Drosophila melanogaster: one gene and its partners. The protein of the gene in region 3 interacts with the protein of the main gene of each other region in a pairwise test. Each region holds a gene or a part of one and is shown on either strand. Other genes may lie near its edges.

Region 1 (8,539 bases), about 10 Mb from region 3:
TACACTAGCGTAACAGTAATATATAATATATATAATAGCCAGCGACAACTGATTGATGCCTGCCAACAAAGCCATACATTCTGTAAATATGTAAACTATATCCGATTGCTCGGTCGCAGTGCTTTATGTTTAGTCTAAACAGTAGAATTATTATTTGCGCAAGCATGCTAATTGGGGATTGCCATCCGGTCGGCTGCTCCAGAGAAGTATATGAGGTAGCCACATACATGGCCTCCGATCATCATCATCAACATCAACATCATCATCACAAATAACCATCATCATCCGACGACAGCCGCAGGTGGTGCGACTGCCGGTGCCTCTAGCTATTGGACATTATAGTGCGGTCCTGGCGTTGGCACACTCTTTAGCGGCGAATCAAACTCCATGGGCGGCGCTTCAATGACCGGCGTCTCCGCCGCCCCGGTGCCGATTCTCTCCTGCAGAATTTCGTACAACTTGTGGATGTGCTCGTTGTGGGCCGTCGTCGGCTGCATAGCCTTCATCAATGTGGCCAAACGACCGGCGGGCAGCTTATTGTGCACATACCACAAAAGTTTCAGCATGTGACGAGAGGTCACATTCTCGCGCGTCAGTCCGGCAAAGATGAACTCGTCGAAGAGCGTGGTGCAGAAGTCCTCCGTGGCAAACTCTTCGCTCATGGGGATGAGCAGGGCAATCTGTAGAGGTAAGCAATCGAGTCAGAAAAGTAAATATTAGAAAAGCAGCTATAAATGCTAACCAGAGAGTGCAGGAAGGGATCCTCATATGCGCGGTCGTCTTTGCAGGCGGACAGAATGGCCAAGACGCGCAACACGCCCACGCGATCCTTCAGGCGCGCCGTGTGCAGCGTATAGTACATGGCCAATATGCTGGCCACGGAACTCTCTTGAATGTACGCCTCCACGGCATCCGGTGCCGGTCCCGAATGCTCGATGGTGGTCAGAGCAGATTCACGCTCGTCCGGCGGTAGTTTCGCGTGCAAGCTGCGGCACTGGTCGTCAACCATTAACGACATGAGGGCGGGCAAAAACTTGGTGACCACCTGGCAATCAAGTTTGGGCTCCTTAAAGTCTTGCGAATCGATCATCACCCAGGCACTCAAGCCCAAGGCCAACATTCTCAACAACAGGATGAGTATCTGATTGTCACGCGGCATGCCCTCGTTGTTGATCAAGTGATGCAATATCTTGATGGCCGACGTGGCCAAAAAGTTGATGGCATACGGATCGCACAAAGTCATGGACAGATCGCCCAGAACCTGCTCCTGACCGCGCTTGATGTTGTCAAGAAATCCCTGGAGCTCCCGTGAACGTTTAATGTCCACATTCTTCTCCCTTATGCAGGCGTCCAGGCACCAGGTGAACTTGTGACAGGGATCTATCGAGATGATCTCCTGCACCTCGAGATCGTGTAAGGCCATCAGTAGCTCTGCACGCAGCGTGCAATAGTGAACATTGCGGGTGCGCAGGAATAGAGTGCGCAGGAACTGCAGCACCATATCGTACAGCTTGACACTGGTGCCAATCATGTTGGCCAACTTTTGGACTACTTCCCCCTGCCTTCGCACCTTGGGCGTTGGGTGGAAGAACAGATTGTTCAAGTTGGTGTGATCAAACAGGATGTGCTCCTTCTCGCGAATATATTGTGAGAGGAGAGGCGACACCTCGTCACCAAACAACGATTGATTATCACGCCATATCTGCCGCTTAACTTCCGTATCCGTGTCCGCATACAGTTCCCGATCCCTTACAAGGATTTTGAGGTACTTGTCATCGATGTGCTGGGTATTCCTCAATATGGCCATGACCACGGGCCGCAGCGACTTCACCCGAACGACGGGGAAGCTCTTAACGAGCAGCTCCTTGAGCTTCTTGTCCCGCTCCCGGGGCTCCTTTTGGCCCATCTCGTTGATGTGAGCTATCAGCTTGTCGCGCAGCTCCTCCATCAGCGAGGTATGAAAGTCCAGTCGACGCACGCCGTGCAAATCGAGTAAAGGCAACATGGGGCGCAGTGAAGGCAGCAATACACCATTCTCAAGCTAAAAAGGCAGGTGATATTTGGATAAATAAGCCCACCGAACTTTTGGCGCCCATTTTTCGGTGCAACGTAAACAAACCTGAAAACTCTCGATGGCCTTCAAGGGATCAGTGCAGGAGGTCAGGGCCTCGCGCAGATAGGCCTGACCCGGAATATTCACGTCCTCCAGTCCAGTTCCATTGTTATTTTTCGCCGGTGTGCTCATTATCATGCAATTCGTCGGCAAATTGAGCAAAACAAGACACGAAGCTACACAATTGTGTTGTTTTTTATTGCTAGCGAGGAGACAAAAAAATAAGCGCAGGCTTGCACATGTGCGGTGTTATCGATAGTGCACGTATCAGCACGGCTTGTAATAGCCAACTTTGTATGTTTAACATGTAGTTATTAATATTATTTTGCCAACAAATAGTTGTATTATTATTATTGGTAGAATGGTAAATGTTACAAAAATTAATAAAGATAATAAAAAAAAATTATATGGGCCACAAATACAATATAAGTCTAATTTCTAATAGTGTTGGTAAAAAAACTGAACTCAAAAAATAAAAACCTTTAATTAGTTTGCCTTAGAACATCATTCCCATACGACTTAATTGTATAAGAACGTAACTTTTAATTGAGGATTATAAATACAGGGAAACGGACTTTTGCTTTTCAGTGACGGCGAAAGAGAACGCCAATTCCGCGATGTGTCATCCCTAGCGCGAAATAAGCAACAGCAAAAACAGCCAAAAGCAAAGCAAGAGCATCAAGTGCAGTCAAATTCGCACAATTGGAGCTGAACGCCAAGGACAAGGCGTCTCGATTCTTGCCGAGATTCGTGCCCCGTAGCGACTACAAAGGAGATCCTGCTGCACACAGTCGCTATCCTTTGCATCGAGTGTGCGAGAGTGTGTGCGTGCGTGTTCCTACACCTACATAAGCTGGTGTTTGGCTCCGTTCAAGTGCGCTTGTGTATGTGTTTGTGCGTGCATTTCGACGAGAACGAAAGCCTCTCTTTTCGTGGGTAAACAAAAACAAAACACCTGAATGTGAGGAGCAGCATTGGTATCGGGATAAGGATCATCAGGATTTGGGAGAGCACAACAGTGGAAACCCACAGAAGCTGAAGCAACATGTCCTCGTCGACGCAAGAGCGCAAGCGCTACCACAAGGACAACGCGCCCACGGACGACATCCTTACGCTGATCAACCTGGTGCGCCAGAATCCGGTTCTCTACAACTACAAACTGCAGCCGAACCAGCGACGCCGCTCCGATGTCCTCAACGGATGGCAGGAGGTGGCCCAGCAGATAGGAAGTGAGTGCTAGTCATGGCCTGCTTCATGTCCGACTATTAGCCTTCTTCCAGAATTAATATAAGCTTCCGCTAAAGTTGGTTTTAAATACCACATGCATATTGTATTGATAGGCTAGTGTTCTGGCGCCGGCTACTATAACACAACTCATAATTTCATCGTTACTTAGAAACGTTTTCATAAATGTGATGCCTTTGAAGAGGTTCTAGCTTGTATCAATTATCTGTAAAAGGAATACGATTCCTTTGAAACCCCGCTCATATTTATACTACCTCTTTCTTTCTTCCAGACAAGTACACGGTGCAGGAGGTGCGTCGTAAGTGGAAGAACCTGCGGGACACTTTCCACCAGTACCGTCTGCGCACGCCCAAGTACATCGAAGGGCGGCTATCCAAGTGGCGCTACGCCAAGGAGCTGGACTTCCTGTCGAAGGTGTACCAGCCGAAACTGAAATCGCACCGGAACACACAGATCACCTATGAGACGAGTGGGGTTGCCGGCGCCGGTGGAGGCATTGGAGGCGCGAATAGTACCACATTGCCCATTGGAGCTATGCTGCATTTGAAACAGCATGTGGACGATGACGACGACGAGGTGATGGACGATGACGGGCAATCGGATCACGATACCGCCACGCTCTCCTCACATCACGGCACCTCGCAGATCACCCTGGTCAGCGATGAGGCGGAAACCTTCATCCTGACCGCCTACGAGGAGGGCGTCTCGGATGACACTGTATCGCAGCACCACCATCACCATCATCATGGCCATCACCAGCAGGAGCATCATCACCAGCCGCACCACCACCACCACCACCATCATCATCAGTCGCAGCACGACGGCAGCATCTCCAGCATTGAGCTCTCCCAGATTGCCCACGATGACGATGTGGTCGATGATGTCGATGACGAAGATGATGTGGTCGACCACGACGGTCAGCTGGATATTGTGAAGCACGAACTGGACGAGGACGGGGCAACCGGCGCCGAGGTGGACTACGAAGAGGTGTGCCTGTACGAGGAGGCCAGCGGTGCCCATGTGGATTGCGAAATTGGTGTGGGTGACGCCGTGGACGGCGGTAGCGATGTTACCCACGGCAAGGGTTTCCATTACATCGATACACACGAATTTTGCATATCGGACATTGAGCCACAGACAGTTCGCTCCAGCCAGCATCAGTTCTCGGCCAGCGGTGGATCGGGCAATGGCTCAAATAGTGTCCTAACCGGTGGGACTGTGGTAACCGATGGCAAGGTAAAGAATCTCACGCTGGTAACAACCACGTCTCCTGCGGCTGGGGGCGGTGGATCAACCAATCGTCATGATTCCTCAGTGTCAACGCAGCAAATTTCCCTGGTGGATGTAACAGAGGCGACCAGTACCAGTGTGACGATTTCAAGCACGCCGGCCATTTCTCTGAATGCGACTACCGTGACTACCACGCCAGCAGCGGCGCTGTGCAATACCACATCCTTCACATCCACGCCGACGGCCACGATCATTCAGATGCCCCCCTTGAACTGCGGATCTGGCCAGCCATTGGCCGTTAGTGCGGCGGCCAGCAGTTCTAACAATCTCATCAAGGAGGATGAGCAGCATCAGCAGCAACAAGTGGCCCAGGCACTGGCCAAGCGTGATGAGCTCGATCTGTTCTTTGACTTTCTCAAGAAGAAGATGCAGTGCTTCAGCAAGACACAGATTACGCACATTCAGATGGAGTTCCTCAACTGTGTCAGCCGGCAGGAAGCGGCCGAACAGGATGGCAAGGATTAGGGACACCTGTTTTTAGTTATGTTCCCCAAAAAACAACCAATACGATCCCTGAGTAGTTGCCTAGTTTTTTCCATGTATAGGATTAGGATGCGTACCGTTTACCAGTTTGCAAGTTCGTGGATTCCGCGTTCTTCAATTAGCTTTATCCTCCACCCACGAAACCCCGGATCCCTGTATCCTTCACCCCTCTACACCATCCATTCGAGTAAAAATATATATACATATATATTAGCCAGCGTTACAATCAATTGTAATTGGAAATAAAAGAAAATAAATCGATTCTCGAAAACTACACAATTCGAAATTCTTAAAGTTGAATAGCTTGTTTGCAACAGATGATCTATACCTAAGTCTTAGGATTATCCTGGTTTCCCCCCCGTTTTATAGACCGAACTAAATTGAAAACAAGAAAATTGGCGTAAATTATAGAATAAGAAGTTTTAAATTGAATTAGATTATATACATTACGAATTGCTTGTAAATTTTAAACAGCAAAAATTAATATAAGTACTTGCTTTAAAAGAAAAAATAGTATCTACTTTACAAAATCACGAACTATTTGAGAAATAAATATATGAAGAAACCTTCTTGATTGCTTATAACCCTTGATATATACATATTTGCTGGGATTTTCATGTCATTTTTATTTTATTAACAAATGAGACGACCGATCATCGCTCTTTATGAATAACAAGACAATTTGCATATGTGATTTTTCGCTTTCCGCGTGCGATTTATTTGGCGCAGCAGTCGTCCGAGGTCCGATGGCGGATGAAACAAACTTAAACGCAACACTTAGGCTAGTTCGGCTGAAGGTTAGGCTCGTTAAATATACACATATGCACTCTCGCAGAGATCATGCTACCGGCGCAGTGACCTCCGTTTGATCCACATCGCTGTGCAGCTTGGCAATGTGCTCCGAGTTAAAGTAGATGACAGTGATTGTGATGTCGTCGCGATACAGACGCACCGCGTCCCTGGGCAGCGTCAAATAGTACGAGATCTTCGAGTGCTCAATCCCATAGTCGGTGCCGCCCAAAGCATGCCGGATGAGATGCGTGGCCGCGTTTTGGTCTACGGGTTTGCGAGTGAGGCCAGCCCTGCAATGCAATAAAAGCGTAATTAATAAATAAATAAATAACAAGCATACATTTAAAGGATAACTGACTTTCTTTCGGCCAGCTGCTGAGAGATTTCCTGCAGCGTTGTATCGCCTTCCGGCAGGCGCATCGGTTCGAGGATCTTTTTGGAGTTGATGTGCTCCCCCACCAAGCTGACCACCTCGCTGGGCGGAAGGAAATCCCATAGGCCGTCGCTGGCGATGACTAGAAACTTGTCGTTGGGCCCCAATTCGTGCTGCTGGACATCGGGGCGGGCGGTTAGGTACGGTGGCGTATAGTAATTCGGCGCCATTGCCTGCACGCCGAACATCGGCAGCACCTTCTGCTGCATTATTTCCTGGGACCACTTGTAGCGAAAGTCCCCAAAGGCACGCAACGGCGCCAGCTGGCTAAGCAGCCTGCCGTTTCGGATCACCGTCTCATGCTCCTCCTTGGGATGCTCGGCCAGAATGCGACGCACCTCGGACATATTGTCAGCATTGTGTTCGATGTTAAGCTTCTTTGAGTGCCACTGCTGCGTCTGGGGATCAAGAACGCCCAACACTGCGCCACAATCACCCGTGCTGGCCACGTGCATCTGCAGTCCCTCAATGTGAACCAAACAGGCAACGGCTCCTGGAAAATAAACACATTTATAGTTTAGAAATGAAGCCCCTATGAAGAGGAAAGTATGAAACGGGATGGCAACTTATATACATAAATAAATGGATACATCACCCACCAGAAAGGGCCACGTTCATGGTGCGTACATCGTTGCTGGTCAGAGCCTCCTGCGAGATCTCTTCATCCAGCTGGAGGAAGGCGTTCACCAGTTCACTGGATACATCCCGTTGCGGTGTCTCTAACAATTGATTGACATACTTGAGGAAACTAGCCTCGTACATGGGCTTGATCATGCTAACAAAGTCCACGTTGTCATTGTGGCACTTGAGGAACGACTGGCTGTCGGCACCCTGCTTCATCTGCTCCCGGAGCACCTGGCGCGGCAGCGTGGCCGCCGAAACATAGCGAAGCAGTCGCTTGGACACCACTTGGCCACATGCTGCTCCCGCATGCCCGTCGAAAATGCCACAAATGAAGCCGTTGCGGTGCAGGAAGCTGGCCTCCGTGCGGGAATCCTCGCAGGGCCAGTTTGATCCCAGCTGATTTGTTTCATAGCTGCGGATGACTCCATCCACGGGAAAGTTGTAAACGAACTCGTTCTCCCTCAGAACAAGGTTAACCTGTGAAAATAGTTTACATTAATACAGATTCTTACTCTTTATGTGGGAATTACAAAGGTTCCCATGGTAATAGTTATTAATCAGTTAATTCTTATTCGGTTCCTAAAAATTTTGTTCTTAAGCCGCTTGGTATGGACTCTTGTCCAGTGCAAACGATCAAATGAAATTAACTGCTCAGTAAAGGCATTATAAATGGTTGCTGTAGTTGAAATATGAATATGGAAAATCGAATACAGTCGGGTCGACGTCGTTCACTTTGTTTATAGGAAAACACTCGGGACTTTCTTGAAAGCCCTTGAAAGTAGTTATTGGATCTTCAGAAAATTATGCAGGCTTTATAGTTAAATTTTTAAACGGCTTAGGGATGTAATGCATAGATTTGTGGTTTCTAAAAGTAGCTTCAATAGGAAAAATCCAAAATAATTAATAAGTAAAGAAGTACTTTCGATCGAAGATCTTACAAACTGATTACATTTTACGAACCCTGCCCAGCTTGCTAATGACACTTGCCAGGAACCCCAAATCTTACATCGTATGGACTCAATTGAGGCAGTTGCGGCAGCAGACGCAGTGCATTCAAACTGAACTCCCGCACATTGGATCGCACGTAGCTGGCGGCGTCGTTCAGCACGAACTTGAACATCTATATGGAGATTTTGTATATGCTCTCGCCCCGCTGTGGCTATAATTAACGGTAATGATATTGGTTCCGTAACCAAATCGGGGGAGGAGTAGGCAAAGAAGATGGAGGAGAACGTGGTGGATTCCGTATCCCGGAGCCTCCGGCTGATTCACCGACTCCGGTTGCCGGTTGCTGACAAAGGGATCTTATTTTCCGCTGTTGCTTTTGATTGGCCGGCGGCTTGTTTGTACATTTGTGTGCTGTGAAATACGAAGCGGACGGTGTTCACGGAAAACAAACGTAAAAAGAAAATACAGTGCGTACTAGCGATGGGTTTTTCTCTGCACGAGACAGCCTAGAACGAAAATGAACACGCACGTCTTAATTTATGTGTCAAAGCACTGTACAAGGCCAAATCTTTTTGTGTAATTATTGTAAATTTATTAGCTTAATATGAAAG
Region 2 (4,055 bases), on a different chromosome or scaffold from region 3:
CTACCTGGCCGGCGTCCTAAAATCCGCACAAGAACTTCTTCGCCGCCGGGAGCTGCAGTGCCTGGAGCTAATAGTGTATCAGAAGGAGAATGAGAAGTTGGAGAGCTATAAAATGCAACTAGAAACCCAGAGGAGTGGCCTACCGGCAGAGGATCATTTGATGGAGTTCGAGCAGAACATGCGCTCTGTCATCTACAAAATCTCTCAGCGCTTAAACCAGGCGCCTAAACTGCCCGCCGGAAGTTGTCAGTTTAAGGTGCATCTGCACACTACCCAGGAGGCATTCATCCGCTTCAGCCATGACTCCCAGTACCAGGAGTTTCCCTGGCTTCAGACCCAAAAAACTGAATCCCAAGCGACAGGGCGAACCGTTTACCTCCTTCCTTTGGCTAGGGTAGATGATTTGGGACTGAAAATGGATGTCCTCATCGTTAATTAATGTTATATTCCTAAAACTGTTATCCATTTTATCGAAAACTACACGACGTTGGGTTTATTTTAAACTACAATTGATTCTAATCATGAATCGTTGGCTGATCCATGGTCTTTCTTTAATGAATAAAAGGACGCCCAATGGTTTTATGGCTTAACATTAGATTCCTTAAATAAAACCAATTTTAGTGTCATTCCGTTTTGAATTATAAAGACTGTTGAGGTTTTAGAGGAAGCGTCATATAGAATTGACCGGTACTCAAGCGACCATAATCGTAGGCTTGTCCTCTAAAGTAGACCCTGGCGTTTTAGATCCTCGAACGTCTTTCGGTTGACAACGTTTCCCAGCGAGTCCTCGAACTCTTCCTCCTGATCGGCTACCCAGCGCTCGCTCTGCTTTTGCGACTTGAGTTTTTCCCACAACGTGATTGCGTCCTCGATCTGGGTGACATTGGCGAAATGGGCGGTGTTCGGAATGCCGAGGCATCGCATGCCGTGCGCATGCCGCCACTCGGCGAAGTGTCGTTGAAAAGCCTTAGGACCCTTGTAGGTGAAGTTTCCACATATCTCGCAATTATAGCTAATATTCAGGCCATGCAGTTTATACAACCAGTAGGGGATAGGTTTACCGTCCCATCCGAGCGGCAAGTTCTTGGGATTGTACGGAACGTCGTCCGCGTCGGGATCATCTTCGTTGTCCGACTCGCTGGCCTCCACATCGCTATCGTCCCGCTCGCCACCAGTCCGAGCCTGTTTTCTCTGCACATTCTCCTTGGTAGCCGCTCTCTGCTCAGACAACAGATCCGCGTATTTGTAGAGCAGAGCCTCTAGCTGGGCAATCTCCTTGTGGCGTTCGTGCTCCCGTGACTGGGCACTAGCAGTCTTTGCGCTGGGCTTCTTGGCCATCAGTGCGGGATCCAAGGTGCTTTTACCTTTTGTAGAGAATAAACGCTGTGCTCGCTCCTCCAGGGTGCCGCCGCACTTAAGACCCAGAGCCACCAAAGCCGACTTTAGACGATCCAGTCCTAGCGAGGCCAGCTCCTCCCAGCTGGAGAAGGCGGATAGATCAAGGTGGGCGCCGGTGTTGGCCAACGCCGACTCAGTTTCCTTAATCGAAAAACCCGGAAATGTGCCCATCAGCCACTGGCGCTGGAAGTCAAGTTCCACCTTTAGCAGTTCGCCCTCCAGGTCGAGCAAGGGCTGGATTCGGAGGATGAAGTGGTGCAGGTAGTCGTTGAGGGTCTCTATGTATATGCGGTACTCGCGGTTCTTGCGCTCTCTCGGAATATCGAAGACGTGGTCAAAGGACATAAGGTAAGTGATATAGTCCAGTTTCTCCACCGACCGCAAGTTGAGGTACAGCTCGTAGCACTCGTTGAGGTCCAGATAGCGACCGCCGCCCTCCTCGTCAGTGAACTCCACTAGGGCACTCATGTCGTCCGGATTGTTGTACACCCGAATCATCTCGTCGAACTCGACGGACAGCGGCACGCTGACCTCCGCCGGATGGGACTTGTAGAACTGCTTGATTTGCTTGAGGCGGGCGTAGAACTCATTGAACTCGTTGGGCCCCGAAAGAGCGGCAATCTCCGCCTTTCGTTCATTGTCCTTGTCCTCGTAGAGATCGCGTAGCTGGGACGTAGAGTTGTGATGCAGTTCCATGAGGTATTTAAGCCGGTGCTCCGAATGGATGCGCTCCTTTTCGCCCGGCTTTTTGGTCGCATGCTCGTCCACCATCAGTTTGACCAGGCGCTCGCGCTCCTCGTGTAGGCGCCGCTGTTGCTCCAGGAGCGTCTCCATGGCTCTTGAATGCGAGGATTTAATGCGGGGAAATATCAAATGGAGGCCTTTCACTTAGCGAAATCCCGAAGAAAACACAACTTTTCGTCAGCGTGTGTACATTAAAAAATACACTTACAATAAAGCAGGGATGGCTTATATTGTCACATCATATTATTGTCAGGTTATTATACTCCGATCACACTGGCAATTAATGTGGATTTCGGGAATGCAGATGTATCAAATTAACGCTCGATTATTCGAGTAATATAGTAATGATATTTAAAGAGCCAAATTGATTTTTCATTATCATATATAGATTATATCGCATGATTTTTCTACCTAGTCGATTAAAGTGAAGCCTCTGTTACAAATGCGATAACAATTACATCGTCTATCGGTGGTCTGACAGCGACAACAAATACACATTTTTACCCTCGCAATCGCAGGGTCACACTTTCGTGAAATCATATGATCGATTTGCAGTGAAAATTTTCAGACGTTGGGCAGAAGGCAAAAGTAACTTATCGTTTTCCACTTTCCTCGTGTTGGGCCGCCGTTTCCAACTCAGTTCGGCTGTGAATGTATTAGCTTAATTAAATTTCAATTATTTCCAGGCACGGTTGTTGTACGTGGGCTTCTTTAAAACACTTGAATTTCCTTTCGGTTTGTGCAGTGAAAAAAATCAGTCAAAATGGCACTGAGCGATGCTGATGTACAAAAGCAGGTAATTGAAAACTTGGATTGGGAACGGGCAGGCGATCAAGGTCGTAGGGAAACAAGCAAAACGAGAGGCTTCGTTTGCCTTTTTGCCTTTGCAATTTGCCTTTGCAATAAAGATGGCGAAGTCATGGGATCTCCCAGGTCATGTGAACTTTTCACCGCCAGTAGTCCAATTAGACTGACATCCTTCCAAATCGGCCCGGTCATTTGGGAGTTGCCGGAGTTTTGACATATTTGTTGGCTAATGAAGACACATCAATTTATTTGTCCAGATAGTTTGCGTAAAAAGTGAGTAAAAATTCGTGCTGGTCATGTGACACGGCCCCCGCATTGGAGCAATGTGTTGGAGCGAGACGACTAGCCCTGCACCCCACACTCGTACTCTCTGTCACACGACCAGCGGACCCCTTACGTTATCAAAACTTTAACGAAAATAAATAGAGGCTAGGGTCTTGGACGTCTCCCTTTTCCATTTATCATGTCCAGTTATCATGTGACACACAGGCAACTACTAAACAGGACGACTGTTTCAGATCAAGCACATGATGGCGTTCATTGAGCAGGAGGCCAATGAGAAAGCCGAGGAGATCGATGCCAAGGCCGAGGAGGAGTTCAACATTGAGAAGGGACGCCTGGTCCAGCAGCAGCGTCTCAAGATCATGGAATACTACGAGAAGAAGGAGAAGCAAGTTGAGCTGCAGAAGAAGATTCAGTCCTCCAACATGCTCAACCAGGCTCGTCTGAAGGTGCGTGTCGTCCAGTTGGTGGCCCTAACATATACCGGAAAACACCTTATTTTTAATCATTCGTAATGTACCCTGTAGGTGCTGAAAGTGCGCGAGGACCATGTGAGCAGCGTGCTGGATGATGCCCGCAAGCGTCTCGGCGAGGTCACCAAGAATCAGTCCGAGTACGAGACTGTGCTGACCAAGCTCATCGTCCAGGGCCTGTTCCAGATCATGGAGCCCAAGGTGATCCTGCGCTGCCGCGAGGTGGACGTCCCCCTGGTACGTAACGTCCTGCCTGCCGCTGTGGAGCAATACAAGGCCCAGATCAATCAGAACGTCGAGCTGTTCATCGACGAGAAAGACTTCCTCTCTGCTGATACCTGCGGTGGTGTT
Region 3 (7,270 bases):
CGAATCGTAAACCATCGGCTACTATTGCAACCGATGCCCCGATTGTGGCTGTCTACCACCACCGTTCCGCCCGATACACCGATACATCGATATCATCGCGAGTGGCTAACCCAGCTCTGAAAGGGAAGCAAGACACCTAAAAGCAGCAACAAAATGCGCAGCGCGGAAACACAGGCGGCGTGTTAAATAAAATAATAATATATAGTCGGTGCAGCTGGCCGTGTGTGGCCGCTGGAAAAACGGGAAAAGCGTTTACACAGTGCTTTTTATTTAGCATTTTCTCCGTTTCGCCCGTGTCTGTGTATGCGTGTGTTGCGTGCGTGAGTGTGCGTGTTTTTTTTTCCTCATTTGGTGTGTGCTTTTTTTTTGTACATTGCGGAGACGCGCTCTTTTTTGTGGCAGACGGGCGGAAAAGATGAAAAACCGCAGAGAGAGCGTCGAAAATTGATGGGAAAATGTATAAAGTTTGTTAATTGATCGTTTTCGAAATGAAAGCATAGAAAAAGGAGCAGCAACGGCGGCAGCAGCAACAACAACAACAACGAGTAACGAAAAACGGCAAAATTTTTTTGTTTGCCTCGTATCGCATTTTCTCACTCTCTCTCTCTCCCGCTGCGTGTGTGTGTGAGTGTGTGTGTGCGCGTCACATATCGACGTCCCTCTCTTGCCACCGACAACAACAACAAATACAAAACGAAGGAAGGAAAGAAAAAGGGGAATAACGTGAAACATGTTTTTCTGTGGCAACAGCAACAACATAAGCGGCAGCTGCAACTATCGGCAGCAACAACAACAGCAGTATCATAAAACATGTGTGGAATAATCGCAGCGAATTGAACAAAGCCCAAAGCCTGGAAATAAAGTAACCAAAAAAGAGAAACGTCGAAAATCAAATGTAAGTAAGCCTTTTTATGCTTCTGTTTTTGCTGTTTGGTTAGGTTGAAAAAAGAGAGAGCAGAAAGAGAGTCGAAACTCAAGCGTTCAGCAATATACAGCGTGCTGTTAGGCGTTAACAGCGTTGCTGTTATGCGCCCAGCAGGCAAACCAATTGGACTTGCCGGCATTTTAAAGTCCAATTGGCTTGTGGCCATTAGTTTATTAAATCGATGTTTTTTCAGTTAAATGCGGTTTTATGGTATTTATTAAACATATTGCAATTTAAATTTGTCAGCTGGCCATTTGGTTCATTATATTAGACTGCAGTCTTTGTAAATGCTCATCTTGTTATGCGGAAAATGCAGCGTTAGAAGAGATTTCTTACATTTTTTTTGTATCTTTTTCAAAAGGACATTTAATTAGTTGGATTATACAAAAATTTGAATATCAATCTAAACATTTAGTTGACTAGATATTTTCGATTTATTTTATGGGTTCGGTTGCTTCGGTAATTGCTTAATTAAATATACTTGATGTGTTAATTAAGGACTTAAAAGTTATAATTCAATTTATACGTATTCCCTGAATTTGCTCTCTTTTATCGCTCGTTGCGCGCGCCCTCTCGCTCTCCTTCTCACTCTCTTCCGTTTCGAGTTCCATGAAGCGACGCCAAAATAGCAATAAAAACAACGACGCAACAGAGCCGCAAAAGGTGGCAACCCTGCTTGCGTTGCACTTTTTACACCCAACCGCCCACAATTTTTCCAAAAAACAAATACATAAGGGAAAAGGAGGAAAAATCCAAACAGCTGGCAGCCTCGCATTGGCAGCTGTGATTTTCATTCGTTCTTCCGCTGGACAAGATGGCTTTTCCACACTATCTCCTTCTCTATTCCCCCTCCCACTCTCCTTCTCCTCTTTGCGATCGTGTTTCGTTGCGTCTTGGCCTTGCACTCATTTCCCATTGTTATTGTTTATTTCGCAAGAATTACGACACTGTCAGGCGAATTTGTTGGTAAACAATTGTGTATTGAAGCAGCTACGGTGGTCACTCGATACGGGGAAGATCTTTAATATGTACATAACTGACAATACATTAATGATTTGTAATGATATGTGCAAGCTATTTAGTACGATCTTAAAAGTAGGAAATAAATTAACAAGAAAACAAGGATTATACAACTCGCATTTAGGTAATACTTCATATTTACGCTCAAAAAGTGAAACTGAAATTGTTGAAAAATCTCGAAACTCTTATCCAAATAGAGTTAAAATAATTTGCAGCGTTTAGAAAAACAGAATTGTGGACGTAGCATCCGTTAGTAGGGAGCGCATTTGTTAGTACGAGTGATCCCCGTACAGTGAATTCCCTTGATAGCGATCCAGTCCGTTCAGGATTTTCTCCCGCCGCATTCGCTGTTGCTGCCGTCGGCGCTGCCTGTAGAGATCCAGGAGAGCATTGCAGGTGTTCCTGTCGAGTGCGTAACCGCGCGCTCCATTGGCCCTTATGGCGACAGTGGGTAGGCGGTGAACCGACGACTTGTACAGCAAACTGCCGGTGCCGACCTTTTGCTTGGCCTCCACGGCGGCGGATGCGGCGCGACAGGCCGCCTCCTTCACCTGCTCGTACTCCGACTTAGCTTGCGCCACCTGGCGGGCCAGGCGGTCACCACGTGCCTTCGCCGCCGCCAGCATTTGGTTCTTCTCCTCGATATCCATGTTCGACTGGTCGATTAGGCTGTCCATTTCCGACAAAATGCCACTCGTCTGCTGTACGAGGGCCCTGAAAACATTAGTAATCGAAAAAGCATTGATATTAAAAATCGATATGTTATCGCTGGTAGATATTATGATAGATATAACGATATAATTGTTCCGCTTTTAAATTGTGTAGATAGTTGGATGGATTGTGAACAATATTGAATATTGAATATTTATCAATTATACCTGAATGTTTCGGCTTGAACCTCCGCTGCTTTGACCACGGCACAGGAGGCCTCCACGTTCGTCTCACTGTTCTGCAGCGAGCAGCTCACCTGTCCGACCACCTCCTCGGCATCCCGGATCTCCCTAGCGTAGTTGTCCACCATTGCCTGTTTGCCCTCGAGCACCGCATCGGCGGCACGGGCAGCGGAGATGGCCTTTTCCGCCAGCTGCATCTTCGCCTGCCGCGATGCATCTTGAGCGGCGGCCGCCTGTGCATCATTGGCTGCCTTGGCCACCTGGGCGGCATTCTGGGCAATGTGGGTGGCCTTCAGCCGCGAATTGATAATCTCGTCACAGGAGTCACAGTTGTCCCTATCTCTAATATTATTCCTGTCTTTGTCCCGATCCCTGTTTCTATCGCAACCCCTATTTCGATCCCAATCTCGGCCTCGATCCCGATCAATATTGCGATCTTTTTCTCGGTCCCTAGCGCTTTCGTCCATGCTTTCACATCCAGATTGGTAGGACGGTCTTGTGGTGCATCCCAGATAAGGGAATGGCACCACTGTGGCCCCCGAACTACCATTCCCATCGCCGTTGAAGCCCTGGGGAGATATGTCATCGTTGGTGTTGTCCAAATAGCTAGCCAGGGAGGCGTCGTGTTCGTTGTGGGGCTGGTCGAAGCTCATCGCACGGACACTCACAATGCGGAGGATGATAAGGAGCAGGGTATATGGTGGAAATATATACATTTTGAATCCGGAATTTGAGGAAAGCGACTCAGGCTGCTGCTTTCAAAACTACTAGATATTCCATAGAATATATACATATTTCAGGGTATTTTGCGATTCTTTACAGTTGGCTGGCTTTCTAGTACTTTCGCATAGTATCAGTTTAATTGATGATGGGAACCCCTTAACTTACCGTCTAAAAGAGCTAGAACGTATTTGTGAAACGGAAAAGCAATTGTTTGCCCTTTAACGATTTTTTAATTGAGCTGAGTGGTTGCCCATACTTTTCCACCAGCGCTTTTCCAGCTTTCCCATTTCCCATTGTCCTGCAGGATAAATGGCTGCCATAGCGATGGGTAATCAGCACCTCAGTTGGCAGCTTTCGCACCTTGCTCACCTTTCGCACCTTCTTTCTCCCTTTGCCCAATGCAGTGTAAATGCGTATCAAGAATACTTCATTAGTGCCCAATTGCGGCGCAATTGCGACGCTGACGCAGCCAACTGGCTGGCTAACTAAGTATCTAACTAGCTAGCGGCTAGCTGACTAACTAGCTAGCTGGTTAGCTGACTAGCAAGCACGTGTGGCGAGCGGAGAAAGGGTAGAAAGCGGCATAGGTGTGGGTGGGCTGGGAAAAGTCGCACTTTATCACAACAAACCAGATGCTAAGCACGTGCTGCCATTTGTTTTGGTTATTATTATTGTGATTCCAGTCTCTAATCAGTGCGGCCAAATAAATAAGTGTGCGGAAAACAGAAACCATGAATGCAGTTAACTGGCGGTGGGGAAAACGCCACCTGGCGGAAGTAATATCAACAATTGCAACGATCTGTAGATACAGATTCATAGATACATAGATAGCGCTATAATAGATATTTGCGTATTTTTCATTTACACTGAATATACTAACATTTATTCCGTGAGAGAATTCAAATTCTTCGTTGAAATTACGCATAAAAGTCAGGGAAAACATGCTATCCGCATAATTGATTTAAGATTCAAGATGAGTTATTTGAAAGATGAAATTCCATAGATGCAGAGGAAAAAAACGTTTTTCGGGCAACACATTATTAAGTGAAATTCATGCCGGCCATTCAGTTCCTTTGTTATATATATATATATATATATATATGTACATACATGGTATATAGTATCGTTATTGTAGTCTTCTTGTTCTTGTTCTTCCTGCATTCATTATCATTGTTGTTGTTGCTGCCGACTGGTCACCAGTTTACTGCAGTCTGCTTGCGAAACTGAAATTTTCAATGCCACTGTCAAAGCTGCGACGTCATCCGTCATCAATGAATGCGCAGTTTTCAATTACCATACAAAATACAAAACAGTCAGTACAGTGGCGGAAATAGGGAATGATACGGCCATGTTCTCTATAAGAAAGTTGCAAAATGGCAGAACGTTCAATTCAATTGACAGCAAGTGTGCAAGGGAAATCATACACTTGTTTTCCAATGTGATCTTATGAGTATCGCAAACTATGAAAATATGGTATCGTTCGCTCGAATAGATTTAGAGACTTTATAATACAAACCAAATGCTCATTTTATGTTCTTTTTGATTTATAGAGAAGTAAATTTAATCATTGCCAACATCATTTATGTTTTATTACCACATTTTATCATAATATTGTGCATTTGATAAGTTTTTATTTAACGCGATCTTGAGAGATCACAAAAACAACTTCATGAAAGGTTCTTTTTTAATTGCCGCTTGTTGTCTTTTGTATTTTCGCTTGCCACTTGTTAGTGTTTATATTTTTTATTTGCACATTTTTGCGCTATTGCGTATTGAGCAAAAATCAACTTTATTAACTGACCTTGTGTGTGGCCATGTGCCCCAGTGTGTGTGTGTGTGTGTGTGCGTGTTTGTGTGTTTGTGGGAGCGAGATGGCAGCAAAGCTCTGCGACTGCGCCGCTCACTTCACTTCGGTTCATTTCAGTTCATTTCGCTTCAGTTTCGGCAAAGGCAAAATCGGTCATTGAACTTTGAACCACCTCAAGCTAAACAAAAAAAAAAAGAAAAGTACAGAAAAATAAATAAGACAGCAACGAAAGAAAAATAAAACAGCAGCAAAAATAAATATAATAAACATAGCCGGTCAGCGGCGGCATTTACATTCTTCGCTCTTCTCTCCGCTCTTCTTCGCTTTCGATTCTTCTCTATCGCGCCTCGACTTGATCTACAACGCACTTGCTGCGGGGCGTGCGAGCGGGACGGGAATAGGGCTGCGGGGAGTGCAGAGAAAGAAAGCATAAATTCTTCGCCTTTCTTTGCACAATCGCACAATCTTCCATTGAAAAAGTGCTTTCAAAAGCGCAAAAACCGTTTTGATGTCGCTGATGTCCAATTGTTGTTGCTGCCACAGTGGTACCTCGCTATGCAAAACAAAATGAAAAATGCGTCCTAGAATTTGCAACTTCCTTGCATGATTTGCACTTCAAATTTGGAAGATAGCTAATATCCACGAAATTGAACTTCAAATTTGAGACAAAACCAAGTTATTTGATTTCGATTCAAGTTATGGAAGACGTGCCGTACTATTTCCTTGCCAAATTCCCTTAACTCTTCTCGTTCTTGGCTAATCAGCGATACTAATGAATACAGAAGAAGCGGAAAACGCCTACAAGGTATTTTTAGTAGACACCTAGAAAATCTGGAGCACGCACATAGCCAAATAAGTTTGTGTATGTAGGCAAATGTGTGAGTACGCCACCGTATTAATAACAAAACGTTTTCTTTCCTCTTTTTTTTTCTCGGGCGTCGCCACATGTTGCACTTTTAATAAAATCGAGTTCACAAAAAAAAAAAAGAAAAGGAATGCAGAAATAGAAAAAGACGCTGTTGCAAAAATATGATTTATTTCAATTATTAGTTTAGTAGCAGCATTTAATGTGCACGCAAATTGAATTAAACAAAACGAGTGCAAATGGAAAAAGTCACACGAACGATTTGGGTCACCACATGACGTGCTGTGCTCCCCTCTCTTCTTCTCATTCTGCGGTGGGTGGCTGTAGTGGGTGGGCGGTGGAGAAAGGCGAAAGCGAGACGAAAGAGAGCGCGAGCGGCAGGGCAACACACACACACATACACATGTGTACTACCACCACACGTACATTGGCGCAGTCCGACAGACAGACAGCCAAGCCAAGCGATTCTGACGTCAAACGGCCGCCGCCGATCATAAAGTTGTATTTTTTATGCCCCCGCTACAGTGGCTACTCGCTTAGTTGGCCTGCTAATATAGGGATTTGCGGTAAAACCCAGACCTCAGCTTATTGATGTTTTATTATTTAAAAGTGAAATTGAGCATATTTAGTTTGGCATATCTCTTAGATAAAATCGCTGATAGCAATCAATGTCACTATTCGCGAATGATTACTGTAATGTTAGGAATCTTAATGTGGCATTTTTAGTACTTTTCCCAGAAGTTGGGGGAGTAGACTTGTGATCCGATTGCGAAGATATTCGTAGACCACCCAGCCGCAGGACAGGGTTGCCAGCTGCACCAAAAGCCGAATTAGTTGGCCAACGTTTCGCACAGTGCGCCTTAGCTTTTTTACTCTATTGTTTTGTCCGTTTGTGTGGGAGTGCGTGGGTGTGTGTGTCGTTATTGCAGCTATTTATTGCTGCTTTTTGCCGATTTCGTGTTGGCCCCAAAATAAACGATGAAGCATGCAAAACAAAAAAAAACTGGCTGCTGCTGCCTGCGCTAAAAATAAACGCA
Region 4 (7,899 bases), on a different chromosome or scaffold from region 3:
TGGTGATGGTGCTGGTGGTGGTGCCTTCATTGTTTTTCTCTTCTTTTTGTTGTTTGACTTTTACACTTTTGAACAACAAGCCGAAAGGAAAAAGCATGAAGGAATGCAAAGTATTCGATAAAAAATTATGAAAGAAACCCATCTTGATGCATGCCTGTGTATGAGTCCCAAAGAAATCGAATGAATGGTGTTAAGGCAATAAAACACCATCAAAGCCAGGTCCACGTTCCACGACAAGACGGTGTCGGGGGAGCAGGACGAGGACGAGGACGAAACGTAGGCGGAGGCCGCAACGGAGGCAGGCACTAACTTTTCAATCTCTGCTGCAACTTCCGACAGAGACAGCCATGTGTCTAGGCTCTCATTCTATTAGGAGCCCCCCATACACCAGGCGAAACTTCAGATAAACAGACTATAAGCCTTTTCTATTCATATTGTGTTTGGCTAAAAGGCGAAATGATGAACTGACATTTTTCAAAACACTAGACAATTCCCAAAATGTATTCTCTAAAATGTATAATCCAGCTGACATAATAGTTTGGGTCCTCTGTTTTGTAAGGAAAATGTTAGATATGCTTAAGATTGGCATTTAAGTGATTTAAAATGTACTAGCTGAAAAGATGAAAATAGATTTAAACTAATACAATTGGGGAATTGATAGAGTCAGAACCTTTTAAAACAAAAACCGAAAAGGAATAAATAACCCTTAATGTTCGGAGTGTAAAGCCATCCATTCCATTCTCTTTGCCCTGTATTGATATGTATGGTGCAACTTTGCTCGCAAAGCACAGCTAAATACTGGGGTGGCGAATCCTCTGGCGGGTTGACTAAGGAACCCCCCGGGAGCCGAAAGAACAACAAACAACTGAAACAAATTGCAAACTCATTAAATTAAAATTATATTTAATAACCGCGAGTGCACGCAGCGCCCGGCGATTTGCTCTAATGCCCAACGACCAAACCTCGCGCCCACTTGCACCACTTGCAGCGAGTGCCCCACCCACCATTTGGCAGAGAATAACCGCCGCCCACTTGGGTGCATTCCGTGTTTTATTGTTGCAGTTCCCGCCCCGCCGCCGCTGCCCTCGCTGGTGCCCAAGGCCCCGCCACCGCCGCCCCCGCCCCTAGCTCCCGGTGAGAAGAGAGTGCTCAGCAGCACACAGAAGGAGACCCTCGAGAAGCTCAGGTGAGTGGAAACCTCGACGACTGACCCATGAACCCTGACCACCGCCAGTGCTTGCATACCCGAATATCCTGGCATCGGGATAGTTTTTACCTTGAAGGCGCAGAATGGCCATAATTCCGATTCGCTTCGATTCGCAGGACTCGACCCCGAAGGCGCCCCGACTGGTCCGAGATGATGAAGGAGGTGGAGAGCGGCAAGAAGCTGCGCCATGTGGCCTGCAACGATAGGTGAGTGGTGTCCGCATGCTGTGCAGTAATTACCGACTGCAATACTCCCGATAATTAAAAAGGGAATGAAAACTGAAGTTATTTAAGGCCACAGGAAAGAGTACCTAGAGCATCTTACTGCGTTTACGCCACTTTATCCGGCAAATGTTAATGACTTTTACTTAAATTTTAAGTGTGCAGAAGTACCAGCAGCCAAATAATAGATAACTCTGCACGAAAATGTTCAAAAATCTCTTTTATAACAATTCAAATCCTAATAGATCTCAGCCCATCCTGACGTGCAAGTCGATAACCAAATTGGACGACAAGTTCATCTACGAGACGGAGAAGGGCAACTCGCACAACAAGCTGCTCAAGCAGATCCAGGGCGGCATCAAGTTGAAGCCAACGAAGACCAACGATCGCAGCAAGCCGGTGCTGGACGGTCTGCGCAAGTTCCGCCGACAGATGACCATCGAGGAGCAGTTGCAGAAGTCGCAGTCGAAGATCAACATGCTCAGCGAGGCGCCTAGCAGCCATGCACTCGGACCGGGCAGTGCCACGGCCTTGGGAGCCGGAGGATCCCGGCCCAGCATCGTATCGGCTATGTCCATCGACGAGGAAAGCCCCGACGAGCTGGACGACATCGACAAGATCCGCGACGATCTGCAGAGCACCAAACAAATGCTGGCACTGGAGTTGCGAAACCGTGAGGCGCAGGATCGCGAGAACAAGAAGCTGCTGGCCAAAATCCGCACCCTAGAGACCGAACTGGAACGCGAGAAGTCACGCGAAAAGAATCTCGAGTACGGATCCAATGTGATTGTGGCCACCATGGATCCTACGCCCACCGCCGAACAGACCTACGTCAACTCCCTGAAGCGCGAGGTAGAGGACGCACGGAAGGTGTCCAAGGAGGTGGAGCAAAACTATCAGAGCACCGCCGAGCAGCTGGTGGAGGCCAAGACGGAGATCGAGGAGCAGCGCCGCCAGATTCAGTTGCTCGAACGCAAGTTGGCAGCAGCTCTTCAGGTAATTCCTTTTGCAGAACGGGTTCGGTAATATGTATATGTAGGTAATGGGATGCTGCTCAAAGTGTTGTCAGTTGAGATTAGGATTTTGGATTACAACCATTTACAACATAACTATCTCCAAGGGTATGCAAAGCATCGGACTCCGAAGCTAGTCCTTCTTTCTTGTTTTTAGTGTCGCCGGCGTCGCCTCGCTGCGTCCGCTGAGGGCGGCAAGTAGACGGGAGCAGCTAACGAAGCCACCGCAATTCGTAGACTCCGCCTTAGATCCCTCGTTAGTTGTCCCTAGTAGCCACTGTAGCCAGAGAAACAGATCAGCTGACAACACTTGACACAAATGTGGAATGGGTCTGGGAAAGGATTACCCGTGGATACACCTTGTTTTCTTCCTTCTTAAAAACGGTTTGCACACGAGACTTAAAATACCAGAAATCTGATTGAAGCCAGCAGACAGCTTGCTGTTGAGAAGGAATCAGACAAGTTGAATAGTAAAATTATTATCAAGAGAAAGCGAAAAATGAAATTCAAAACTGACCATATTTTATCAAAGCTCAATTTGTATTAAATTTCGGAAGCCATACTTTTCAAGTAAGGTGCCTTCATCCCTTACCTGTGCTATCTGTTTGCTTGCACACAATTCCAGACAAAACAAAATCAAGTTTCTGGGGAAATGCTCAAAAGGTTCCAGAATTTTTCTTTAAGCAAATAATGGACCTGGCCATGCCATGGTAGACATTAAAAAATGTAATCTTTATCAAAACGAAACGAGAGGTATAAACAATGTCCGAAGATCTCGTGTGTAGACGACCTTAAACTCCAACTGCCGGACGCATGCTGCATGAAAGACTCCCGCCACCCGCATTCTGCTTCCGCCCAGACCAAAGCGGTGTTATGACCCGTCTAGGACACGTCCGGTCCCGATTCCTATCCCCCTGAAAGCTTTGCTATTGCACTCCGCGGCAACTAACCGATTAACCCGTTCACGCTCTCTTGCAAAGGCGACACCAAGCACTAACAGACCGCACATTAGTAATTGCTTTGCTTACGACGACGACGACTACGACGATTGCTTCCACTACGACCACTACCATGCAGCACGGCATCAGGTAAAATCAGGCCCCGCTCAAGGATGCCCTCACTAATCCAATGTGTGTATCCCTTCTTTCCCGTTTTCCGTTTTGCATTAACTGCGGCTGCAGGGCGGTGGATCCTTGGACGGATCGCGTCGACCAAGCGATGCAAACTTTGGAAGGGATAGCTCGCCGGAACTGGAGCCTGAGGTCAGCGAAAGCGATCCTGACGAGCCGGAGGAGAAGAAGGTGGAGCGCAGGGAGCGTCGCTCTGGCAAGGAGCTCAAGATCCTGCGTAGCAAGCTTACCAAACTGAAGGTCAAAGAGGAGGCGGCCAAGAAGGAGAAGGACGCCCTCAAGCAAGCCATGAAGAAGAACCAGAGTATCCTCAAGTGAGTACAAATTGTAATGTAGTATTGTTCTTAAACTGGAAACAACTCTGGATGACAGGGAGGAGAACAAGAAGTTTAAGAAGCTGGAGAAGGAGGTGCAGAAGATGGCTGCCTCCATGAAGCTAGACGAAGACGATGTGGACGGCGAGGAGAAGGACGAGGACGAAGAGGAGGCCGAGGAGGAGCACGCCAGCGAAGAAGAGGAGGAATCCGACGACGAGTCCGAGGAGTCCGAATCGGAGGAAAGTGAGGCGGAGACGGGCAGCGAGTCCGAGCCAGAGGTGAGTTAGCCCCAGAGAATCGTAAACTATTTAGCCAGCTCACCTGTACCGTATTCCGCAGGACTCGCCCAACTCCGCGAAGAAGGCGAATGTGGAGCCGCGCGTGAAGAAGCACGAGAGCCGGTTCGCGGCGATGAAGAAGTGCAATGTGCTGCTCCAGGCGAACGTCGACAATTTGCAGGATCAAATTGTGCAGGTGCGATCGCGGGCCACCAATCTGCAGGACGAACTGGACGCGGTTATTGCCGATTTGGGCTTCTAGTCCCTCAGCTTGTCTTCCGTTTCTGTTTCCGTTCCTTGCTCTGTTTTTTCGAGTGTGTGTGCTTCGAGAATATAAACATAAACAATAATAAACAAACAAACAAACGAAAAACTAGAGGTGGATGTAAAATTAATTCTGCAATCGATGTATGATGTCGATGTATGTATCGATGTCGCGCCGTCTGTATTCTACATGTAACGGAATTTTTACAAAGTAATGTAAAATGTTGTGTCGCTGTAGATTTGAAATTTTATTGTTTATTTATAACTATTTAAATGAATTATATAAAAATGTAGTGCAAATTTGCATGTAGAAGAGCGTGAAATTCAAATGCAAATTATAACTTGTTTTTATTTTATTCATAAGTTGTATTTATTACCGTATTTTAAGCATGTATAACAATGTACAAAACAACAAATCGGCGAAATTGGCTAAACTAAACACGCACTACGAGTATTTACTTATGAGTGGAGTGGATATCACGCGTCCCTTCTTATATATTTTGATTAATCTACGATCTGAGCCTTGATATAAGTAGAGTCTACGATGAATGAACCGGGTTTGCTGCCGGCCACTGATGCTTGCCGGGATTGGGTGAGAACGATGTGACAAGACGAGGGAGAAACCGCGAACTCTTTTAGTTGCTCTGGAACCACACTATTCCAGCAGGATGAGCCTGAATCGCTTCCGCAGCGACGACTCGCGTGGCAGGGTGCCTGCCCATTTCTTCAGGGCCGTCAGAACCACAGATCCCATCACCATCACCGCACCCACCAGCGAGTAAGCGGTGGGCGTCTCTCCGAAGAAGAGCATCTGCCAGACGAAGGCGAAGACGATGTCGGCGCAGCGAGCAATGGCCACTGGTCCGGCCTGTTCGATCTGCAGCGATAGCGTGAGCAGGATCTGGCCCAGGAAGCTGAATACGCCCAGTACAACGACCAGCCAACGATCCCGTCCGCAGCTTGGCCAGCACACAGCTCCAATAGATGCGCAAACGATCAGTGTGTAGACCAGAGCGATGGTACCGAAATTCGTCATGATGACGGAGAAGTGCAGGTTTTTGAGCGCCCGCAGCAGGATGTACACATTGGCTCCGAAGAGTGTGGATGATATGGCGGCCACTGGTCCCCAGATGTCGTACGTCTTCCCAGCGACATCCTCACTCTCCGCCGTGTCACCGAACACAAAGGGTGGGCGCGTGATGAGGACCACGCCGAGCAATGTCATATTGATGGTCAGGACATTGAACAGCGTACACGGCTCCTTGAGGAAGGCACGCGCAAATATGGCCACGAAAACGGGCGTGGAGAAGATGATGACACTCGCATCGGCCAGGGGCATGTGTCGGAAGGCATAGAAGCTGAGCATCAGACCCGTTGTGCCCATGAAGCAGCGCAGCAGCAGTATCACCCTCTTGCCCTCCGGAAACACCGGCTGTCGCGTGTATATCAGGATGGGCAGTGCCGGCAACAGGACTCCGACGAATCGAAACGAGGCCAGCTCCATGGGGTTCACGTCCACCAGTCCCTTCACAATCACCGAGCACAGGGAGAAGAAGAGCGAGGAGAGCGTGGCCAGCAGGATACCCAAGTAGGGACAATCGGCGCCCAATCGTCGCTGCAAGCGCTCCAGCCAACGGGGGGCGGGATCTGGGGGCGGGGCGCCCTCCTGGAACTGCTGAAGCTCGAGGTTTTCCGGCATTCTGTGGGGTTTCTTCTCTACAGTTTCTGGATTCCTTCAAAGTTTCAGCATCCTGCAAATGGGATTTGCATCAATATGTGTGCATGAGTGTGGGGAGTCTAATGGTAGCCCACCTGCCCTGAAAAATCGATTTCTTTCGATTGCCTTCCTTATTTACGCGCTGTGTCACTGTCTGCTGCCGCCTTTTCTGCGTTTTCAATGGCACATCGTTTCCCCGCCGCCAGTTTCACTGAGTTTTATTCATTGTTTGCACGCTCCGACTGCGTTTAATTAAACATTTTTAATTCTTTTCGCGAATGGAGATTCCGGAAAACCCTGTGGGCCAGTATTGCCACCCCGAAGATCTTAGTCCAGCCAACAATGCCACCTTTTTAAACGACTCGTCATGTTTAACGGTTTTATTTCGATATATTTTTATGAACTTTTAAAAGATTTGAAACAAGTTTTGCTTAAAATGTATTAAAACTGTAAAACTATTTTGGCATAGCACATTCAAATTACGGTTATAAATATTCCGAAACTTGTTTAGACCGGCTTTTACGGTTTGTGAAAACGTAAGTTGGCAGGCCAGCCAATCAGCTGCTGAACTCCGAAAGGAGAACAATGACTCGGGAATCGGCAGTCGCCACCAAAAGAAATTGGGCGATTCTGGCCGCAGGAGTTGGCTTGGTATACGTCCTGGTGCGGCACAGGCACCGACTGCTGTGTCCACTGCGTCGCGTCTGGTCCTTCGGCAGCCTGGTGCCCCAGCGACGCATAGAAGTGATCAACTCCGTCCAGGATCCGACCACGCAATGGGTTTTGAATGAACTGAAGAAGTAAGTAAAAACCACTTTAATTTCACGACAATGGAAATATATATATATATTCTGCCTCTTAGTCACTGCCAGACTTTTAAAGTCCTTGGATTCGATTGCGAGTGGATCACCGTGGGCGGCAGCCGCAGGCCAGTGGCCTTGCTCCAATTGAGCTCCCATCGGGGTCTATGTGCCTTATTCCGACTGTGCCATATGAAACAAATACCCCAGGATCTGCGGGAGCTTCTCGAGGACGATTCCGTGATCAAAGTGGGCGTGGCACCCCAGGAGGATGCCATGAAACTTTCGCACGACTATGGAGTAGGCGTGGCCAGCACACTGGATCTGCGCTTCCTCTGCGTAATGGCAGGCCACAAACCTGAGGGACTGGGAAAGCTCTCCAAAACTCACCTGAACTATACACTGGACAAGCACTGGCGCCTGGCCTGCTCCAACTGGGAGGCCAAGACTTTGGAGCCAAAACAGCTTGATTACGCTGCCAACGACGCACTTATGGCGGTGGCCATTTATCAAAAATTGTGCAGGGATCTGCAGCCAAAACACTTTTGGCAACGAAGGCAACTGGACGACAATAGCATGCACAACAAATTCGAACCCTTTCTCGACGTGGACTTCACGAAAGGCTTCACACTCAACCCGTCCGGCAGCGGAGTAACTCGTTCAAAGGGCTCCACCCAATCCAAAAGCAATAAATGGGTGCCCAAGAAGCAACCGTACCGGCAAATAGCTACCCGAACCAAAGACTTCTACGATAACTGCCTGCTGCAGGCGCCCGATGGCGAACTCCTGTGTACAATTGACAGGCGCAAGGCGTCCTGGTATCTCAATCAAAATCTGGGCACGCATATAAGCGAAGAGCCCTTCACTGTCCGCCTTAACTTCGAGCCAGCGGGTCGAGCGGTCGGAGATGTGGGGCGCTTCTATCAAACAATCAAGAAAAACCAGTGCGTGG

Evidence for each region.
Region 1: the proteins of CG12985 (region 3) and CG12155 interact in a two-hybrid assay, tested with the Drosophila melanogaster proteins (one large-scale study listed by BioGRID).
Region 2: the proteins of CG12985 (region 3) and noi interact in a two-hybrid assay, tested with the Drosophila melanogaster proteins (one large-scale study listed by BioGRID).
Region 4: the proteins of CG12985 (region 3) and CG17230 interact in a two-hybrid assay, tested with the Drosophila melanogaster proteins (one large-scale study listed by BioGRID).

The regions. Positions count from the first base shown.
Region 1 is NC_004354.4:7,726,033-7,734,571, forward strand, and holds CG12155 (uncharacterized protein), read left to right. Parts: upstream 1-2,722; 5' UTR 2,723-3,158; coding exon 3,159-3,342; intron 3,343-3,629; coding exon 3,630-5,113; 3' UTR 5,114-5,697; downstream 5,698-8,539. Other genes in the region: NELF-B, read right to left, coding at 327-680, 743-2,041, 2,120-2,251; Pdp (pyruvate dehydrogenase phosphatase), read right to left, coding at 5,970-6,213, 6,282-6,849, 6,956-7,457, 7,987-8,100.
Region 2 is NT_033777.3:5,589,101-5,593,155, forward strand, and holds noi (noisette), read right to left. Parts: upstream 2,360-4,055; 5' UTR 2,233-2,359; coding exon 721-2,232; 3' UTR 501-720; downstream 1-500. Other genes in the region: PolZ2 (DNA polymerase zeta subunit 2), read left to right, coding at 1-439; Vha26 (vacuolar H[+]-ATPase 26kD subunit), read left to right, coding at 2,906-2,938, 3,468-3,680, 3,759-4,055. UniProt on the Drosophila melanogaster protein: Probable subunit of a splicing factor complex required for 'A' complex assembly formed by the stable binding of U2 snRNP to the branchpoint sequence (BPS) in pre-mRNA. Involved in male fertility.
Region 3 is NC_004354.4:17,880,029-17,887,298, reverse strand, and holds CG12985 (uncharacterized protein), read right to left. Parts: upstream 3,582-7,270; 5' UTR 3,492-3,581; coding exon 2,824-3,491; intron 2,660-2,823; coding exon 2,215-2,659; 3' UTR 2,061-2,214; downstream 1-2,060.
Region 4 is NT_033777.3:11,434,410-11,442,308, reverse strand, and holds the start of CG17230 (uncharacterized protein), read right to left. Parts: upstream 4,525-7,899; 5' UTR 4,429-4,524; coding exon of another isoform or gene 4,228-4,428; 5' UTR 4,210-4,227; intron 4,167-4,209; coding exon of another isoform or gene 3,944-4,166; intron 3,886-3,943; coding exon of another isoform or gene 3,623-3,885; intron 3,530-3,622; coding exon of another isoform or gene 3,422-3,529; intron 2,425-3,421; coding exon of another isoform or gene 1,674-2,424; intron 1,414-1,673; coding exon of another isoform or gene 1,324-1,413; intron 1,187-1,323; coding exon of another isoform or gene 1,063-1,186; intron 118-1,062; exon of another isoform or gene 3-117; intron 1-2. Other genes in the region: sals (sarcomere length short), read left to right, coding at 1,063-1,186, 1,324-1,413, 1,674-2,424, 3,422-3,529, 3,623-3,885, 3,944-4,166, 4,228-4,428; CG5281 (uncharacterized protein), read right to left, coding at 5,086-6,129; Exd2 (exonuclease 3'-5' domain-containing 2), read left to right, coding at 6,733-6,947, 7,010-7,899.